2 linked regions of the Rattus norvegicus genome follow. The protein of the gene in region 1 purifies or fractionates together with the protein of each later gene. This does not show direct contact. Links are inferred from orthologs where the notes say so. Each region holds a gene or a part of one and is shown on either strand. Other genes may lie near its edges.

Region 1 (2,761 bases):
TGATTGCGCCCCACCTTTTGACTTTGCTTTTGACCGTGAAGCCCTTACCAGGGAGCGCATTAAGGAGGCCATTGTGGCTGAGATTGAGGACTTCCATGCACGACGGGAGGGCATCCGCCAACAAATTCGCTTCCAGCCCTCTTTGCAGCCTGTGGCTAGTGAGCCTGTGTGTCCAGATGTCGAGATGCCCAGCCCCTGGGCTCCAAGTGGAGACTGTGCCATGGAGTCACCTCCTCCAGCACTACCACCATGCTCTGGCCCTGCCCCTGACACTGTTGATCTGACTCTGCAGCCTGCCCCGCCCGCCAGTGAGCTTGCTCCGCCAAAAAGAGAGGGTGCCATCTCCGACAATACCAAAGCAGCCCTCAAAGCTGCTCTGCTCAAGTCCCTGAGGAGCCGGCTTCGAGGTGGTTTGTGGGCCCAGCACCTGGGTGGGTAGTGGAGTGGTAGGCAGGGATTCTGGGACAGATCTGTAAGTCCTTACCTTCCAACTTTTCTGCAGATGGGCCCAGTGCACCCTTGGAGGCCCCTGAACCTCGAAAGCCTGTGACAGCTCAGGAACGTCAGCGAGAGCGAGAAGAGAAGCGCAGGAGGCGACAAGAGAGAGCCAAGGAGAGGGAGAAGCGACGACAAGAGCGGGAGCGCAAGGAGAGGGGGGCTGGCACCTTGGGGGGCCCCTCTACTGACCCTTTGGCTGGATTGGTGCTCAGTGACAATGACCGAAGCCTGCTAGAGCGGTGGACTCGCATGGCTAGGCCTCCTGTCCCTGCACCAGCACCAGCACCAGCACCAACACCAAAACCAACACCAACACCAACACAGTCCTCTGCTCAACCCACTAGTCCTCCCAATGGCCCTGTATCTCAGTCTACTGCTCCTCTACAGCCTGCAGGCTCTATTCCTGGTCCTGCCTCCCAGCCTGTTTGCCCACCCCCTGGGCCTGTTCCCCAGCCTGCTGGCCCTGTCCCTGCCCCTCTCCAGACTGCCCCTTCCACTAGCCTTTTGGCCTCCCAGTCACTTGTGCCACCTAGTGGGTTGCCTGGTTCTGGTGCCCCAGAAGTTCTGCCTTACTTCCCATCTGGCCCACCACCTCCAGATCCTGGGCTCACCCCTCAGCCTTCTACATCAGAGTCACCTGATGTCAACCTGGTGACCCAGCAACTGTCCAAGTCTCAGGTGAGAAGGGAGAAGGCTCAGGATATCTTGACCTGGTCCTGGAAGGTGGGTGGGGTAGTTGTCCATGTTGGGTGAGAGGAAGCAGCAGAGGGAGTCTTCCCTCCGTGAGCCTGCCCCCTTGCTCATAGAAGGAACACAGAAGGCCATTGCAGAGGTGGTTGGGAGGTGGACGCTGCTTGGAAAATGTCTGCCTTAGAGACAGCCTCACCTGCGCTAGCACTGGGTGATTTCAAGGCAGTGTTGATGCTCTAGGATATCTGGGCAGACTAGTCAGAAATATCAGGGTGTGCTCTGCTGACCTCAGTTTGTCCTTCCTGGCACTTGTGTTATAACCTGTTATTGTCCCCTGCAGGTGGAGGACCCCCTGCCTCCCGTGTTCTCAGGCACTCCAAAGGGCAGTGGGGCTGGCTACGGTGTTGGCTTTGACCTGGAGGAATTCTTAAACCAATCTTTTGACATGGGTGTGGCTGATGGGCCACAGGATAGGTAAGATGGCTGGACTGAGCTTTAGTGGAGGGTCTGAATGGCTGCTTAGCCAGCCAAGGCTTAGAACACCATCCCTGTTTCTTTTCCTTACAGCCAGGCAGACTCAGCCTCACTCTCAGCCTCCCTCCTTGCTGACTGGCTTGAGGGCCACGGCATGAACCCCGCTGACATTGAGTCTCTGCAGCGTGAGATCCAGATGGACTCCCCAATGTTGCTGTCTGACCTGCCTGACCTCCAAGAACCCTGAGACCCACAGCTTGTGCCTTGCTGCCAGGACAGACCCAGCTTCAAGGTCCAGGGGTGCAGTCCAGAGGGCTGCAGCCTTGAGCCTGGCAGGTGAGGCTCAGCTTGAGTTACTCTGCAGGTTCATCTCAGACCCACCGTTCAGCCTTAAGCAGCCGCCTGAGCCACCACCGAGCCATAACAGGATGGGAGGCTCTACTCCTTCCTGCGCAGTCTTCTCCAGTGTTGTATTTTTATTACTGTTGTAATATGCATTTGTTTTGCCATCGAAATGAGGCCTGTGAAATACAAGGTTTCCTTTAATCTGACTCTGTTATTGTTGGAGTTGGGGTAAAACCCCAACAGTAGGGGAATAAGGAAAAGCCAGGTGCTCGTATTTGGAGCCAAGTAAATGTTTGTCCACAAAGCCATCAGATCCTGAAGGTTTATTGAGACCTCTACTTCCCACCACTCCCAGCCCCCAGAGTTCTCTGCTGCCTCTCTCATGACAATCCCTAGGGAAGTAGGGGACCAAATTAAGCTGCTTTGCCGTGGCTCCTTCAGAGTCGATGGGCAGCAGCTGTGGTGAGTGTGGTCTTGGTGTTGAATTTTGAGGGATGAGTGAAGGCAGATGGGTTTGGGCTCCATGATGCTCACTTAAGGGAGTTAGTTGATGAGACCAAGGTAGGAAGTATTCTGAGGAGAGCTGTGGGAGTGCTGGGGTGTGACTGTGGCCATGCCTGAGCTGATTGGCAATGCCATAGGTGCTGTATTTCTCTGTCGAGGGTAGCCCTACACAGATGGGTCTGCAGTAAGGAATTGGCTGAGGTGGGATGTATAAGCTGGCAGCTAGAAGGTAGCTTCTGGCTTTCAGCTG
Region 2 (4,172 bases), on another chromosome or scaffold:
GAGCAGGCCCAGGGGCTCCCCTTCTCCACTATGTCAGCCAAGCCCGCCAGGCCCCACGACTCAAGTATCTTATTGGTGCTGCACCTGTAGCCTACGGCCTACCTGTCTCTCTACAAACATCCTGAAGCTGTCTTATCTATGGTAGAAGCTGTGTGACTACCTCCAAACTTGGTTTTGAATATTTAGAATTTTTAAAGTGATTTTCCCTGGTGTTTTGTATGAAATATTTTCTTTAATGTGACCTTAATAAAGATATACCAAGCCTTGGTTTGTGAGAGTTCAAGCTCCTCTCCTCACTCCTGCTCTGTGAATGTAAGCAGACTGGTGGTGCACCAGGGAGTTCAAAGTTTGAAAGCTAAACCACAGGACAAAGTTTGGGGCAGCTGGGGCTTGGGTGATGAAGATGAACAGACGGCCATCAAAATACTGAGAGTGGCCCGTGGTGCATATCTTTAATCCCAGCCGTTGGGAGGCAGGGATACCCCCACCCCCACCCCAGCCTGGTCTATTTAGCAAGTTCTAGAATAGCCAGGGCTACATAGAGAAAAACCCTATCTTCCAAAAACAAAATGTTCAGAGTGAGGCAAACAGTGAGCTAGCTCAGCCTAGTCGTTACTGTTCAGCCAGTTCAAAACAATACCCTGTCAGTTTAAAAAAGAAAAAGAAAAAGCAAAGTTTATATTGGAGCAAAGAAAGGCAGTGATCAGGCGATGCGGATGTTTTTAATTCCTCTACTGCCATTGCCCCTCTCCTGGATGATTTTAGAAACCATTGCTCATCCCATGAAGGCGGCTACACTTGAGCAATGGCAGTAGCAGATTCTTTGGGGTTTGCTACTCACATATGTTCTGTCGCACCAACTAAACAAATTGCTGGGAAGCACACATACCCTTCATACCCAACACAAAGAAGCAATTATGGCGAGGTGAGACAAATGGTTAGCAGTTAAGAGCACTGGGCTGCTCTTTCAGAGTACCTAAAGTTGGTTTGCCTGCATAACTGAGACACGAAAATAAATGTAGTTGGTTGACAGTTGCTCCTTTTTGGCACTTCCACTTTATCCTTTAAAGCACGTGGTACACTGTCAGAACACTGGCTCCCTGCAGGCTCGTCCCAAAAACATGCAGTGGCATATTGCTTTACAATCTTGTGGTTGTGCAGTGAATCAAGAGTTTCGAGTTCCTTGAGGTCTCAAGTCGTGTCTGCTAGTTAATCGTGACAGCATTAGTGTACTTACGAAAAGAAACTGTTCTCTAATCAAGCTTGAGATTCGTATAGCGGGTCCGAAACGCAGGATCATAGAGATAACGGGCGCAGAGCGTATCCCCCGGCGGCACCATAGAGATAACGCAGAGTGGCTAGAGCTTCGCTCGCCTAGCCGGCTTCCGCTTCGGCAGTCCTCCTTCCCAACATGGCGCAGTCGATTAACATCACGGAGCTGAATCTGCCACAACTGGAAATGCTCAAGAACCAGCTGGACCAGGTGAGGACCTGTCCCAGCACCTTCCTAGCGCTTCACATCCTCCGACCGCGTTCCCTCCTGGTGGGGGAGGTTTCCTTTCCCAGGGAAACCCCTATCCGGTCCCAGGTCCCGCCCCCTCTGCCTGAGCCCGGCTTTCTCGGTTCCCGAGCTGACCCTTTTTTCCCCGGCTTCTGTAGGAAGTGGAGTTTTTGTCCACGTCAATTGCTCAGCTCAAGGTGGTACAGACTAAGTATGTGGAAGCCAAGGACTGTCTGAACGTGCTGAACAAGAGCAACGAGGGTATGGGCTAGGCGGGTGAGGGCACCTGGGGAAACGTCGCTAGCCGGCTTCTCTGTGGCTTTTTCCTAGTCAGTTTTCGTTAGAGAAAATTATCCGTTACGTAGTGTGTATAACCACACGAGCCCCCGCATGTTGCCTACGGAAATCTAAAATTTACAAGACATTCCTCAGTTACTGTTCTTTTCAATGTCTGTGGACACTGAGCCCAGGTGGGAGCTTCCCTTAACGTCTTCACGTGGGAGCGGCTAGCCTTCCCCAGCTGTTTGTCTTCATTACTTTCACAGGAAAAGAATTACTGGTCCCACTGACGAGTTCTGTATCCTTTCCACGGGAATTGCTACCTTACCTTCTTCCACAGTCTTCCCCAAAACCGGAGAGAGTTTTGATTATTCCCCAACGATATTTATGAATAGTTGCACACTATGTAGTTCTCTTGTCTAACCTTGGACAGGTGTCCATGTAATACTTTGTATCAGAGTTCAGTTAATTGAAATGTGGTGTTTCTCTTTGTTGTTTAGAGATGTTATTATAATACAGAGATAAAGCTGGCATTCGGCTAATGCAGTAGAAAAAAAATGTTAGGGTGTTGAAATTGTGAACATGTCTCTTCTCAATTTTAGCTTAATTGCGGCTCATCCCTGAACTACTTTCACTAAGAAACCTAGATTGTTTCCACCTGTTGAAATGACCTGCTGTCAGAAATGACAGTTAAAGAGAAACCTAAGGGCATTGGTGATTTAGCTCAGTGGTAGAGCACTTGCCTAGCAAGCGCAAGGCCCTGGGTTCAGTCCCCAGCTCCGAAGAAAAGAAAGGAAAAAAAAAAAAGAGAGAGAGAAACCTAAGAATAGCAATGTGGTGAAGACTGTTCTAAGTCACAACAATAGAGCCAGCAAGGTGACGCAGAAGGTAAAAAACCACACATACAACCTGAGTTCAATCTCTGATACGAACATGGTAGAACGAGAAAACCAACTCCCAGAAGTTGTCCTCGGACCTCTGCTCCATGGCTTGCACACTTGTGAAAACACACACAAAAACAAGTAAATGTAGTGGTAGTTGGAAGGTGGAGAAATGGCTCGGCAGTCAGAGCCCTTGCTCTTGCTGAGAACCTGCTTTGGTCCCCAGTGTCTACACGGTGTAGGTGACTCCAAGGGGATACAGCAACCTTTCCCAGCTCCTGCAGGGACCAGGCATGCATGTACATACACACAGTCTTGTCTTAGGGTTTCATTGCTGTGAAGAGACGCTGTGACCAAGGCAACTCTTATAAAGGCAAACCTTTAATTGGGGAGGGTTTACAGATTCAGAGGTTTAGTCCATTATCATCATGGCAGGAAGCATGGCAGCAACCAGTAAGACATGGTGCTGCAGAAGGAGCTGAGAGTTCTACATCTTCATCCAAGGGCAGCCAGGAGAAGAGACTTCAGGTAGCTAGGAGGAGGGGGGTCTTAAAGCCCCACCGCCACACTTCCTCCAACAAAGTCACACCTCCTAACAGTGCCACTCCGTGGGCCAAGCATATTCTAACCACCACAAATCTACCAAAATTTAAAAAATTAAATAAAAATTAATAACAGTCCATCAGGGGGAGTGAGGCTGGTTTTTTGCTCATACCATCTCTAGAACCTTAGGAGAGAATCCTAAGTATCCAACCCGTTCCCCCTGGAAAGACTGGTGTGGGGAATACAGGAGCTCCTTTAAGGATGAGAGATGGGGTCAGGACAAGAAAGTGTTTCAGCTTCTCTGTCTCCTTCCACTTACAGTGACCAGGAAGCTAAGGCCTTCGGTTACTTGGTTCTCCTGGCTGCAGCTTTTTAGAAAAGGCACTTTGCGGTTAGCACTGTGGCTACCAAAACCATGTCTCATGCTGTACCAGTTTTCCCTTAACCCTGGCTTCTCAGATGTATGTCCCCGGGAAGCTCCACGATGTGGAACATGTGCTTATCGATGTGGGAACTGGTTACTACGTGGAGAAGGTGAGCGGTGTGTGGATGTCCTCGGAGAAGGTGACAATGGGAGCTTAAGGGAAGAGGTGTGGCGTAGGGCAGGGTCTCTCTTTAGCCTTTCATTCATTCACCTCTGCTCTTGCAGACAGCTGAGGATGCCAAGGACTTCTTCAAAAGGAAGATAGACTTTCTTACCAAACAGATGGAGAAAATCCAGCCAGCTCTGCAGGAGAAGCATGCCATGAAACAAGGTCAGTTCTGCCCAGGCACCTCTTGTAAAACTGCTATTAGCAGGTTGTGTTTATTACACACACACACACACACACACACACACACACACACACACACACACACACACACACACACACACACACCAAAAACCAAAAACCAAAAAACCAGACAGGCAAGGGCCATAGAAGTGCTGTGGTGTGGGGCTGGGGATTTAGCTCAGTGGTAGAGCGCTT

Evidence for each region.
Region 2: the proteins of Mapk7 (region 1) and Pfdn5 purify together in Homo sapiens (affinity purification with mass spectrometry; 3 studies listed by BioGRID and IntAct, with this or other methods). This does not show direct contact. The link is inferred for Rattus norvegicus from reciprocal best matches to the Homo sapiens genes MAPK7 and PFDN5.

Annotation. Positions count from the first base shown.
Region 1 is NC_086028.1:46,669,168-46,671,928, reverse strand, and holds the end of Mapk7 (mitogen-activated protein kinase 7), read left to right. Parts: coding exon 1-407; intron 408-502; coding exon 503-1,176; intron 1,177-1,528; coding exon 1,529-1,662; intron 1,663-1,755; coding exon 1,756-1,909; 3' UTR 1,910-2,208; downstream 2,209-2,761. UniProt on the Homo sapiens protein: Plays a role in various cellular processes such as proliferation, differentiation and cell survival. The upstream activator of MAPK7 is the MAPK kinase MAP2K5.
Region 2 is NC_086025.1:135,328,996-135,333,167, forward strand, and holds the start of Pfdn5 (prefoldin subunit 5), read left to right. Parts: upstream 1-1,368; 5' UTR 1,369-1,411; coding exon 1,412-1,483; intron 1,484-1,659; coding exon 1,660-1,762; intron 1,763-2,046; coding exon 2,047-2,078; intron 2,079-3,663; coding exon 3,664-3,738; intron 3,739-3,853; coding exon 3,854-3,959; intron 3,960-4,172. Other genes in the region: Espl1 (separin), read left to right, coding at 1-125. UniProt on the Homo sapiens protein: Binds specifically to cytosolic chaperonin (c-CPN) and transfers target proteins to it. Binds to nascent polypeptide chain and promotes folding in an environment in which there are many competing pathways for nonnative proteins.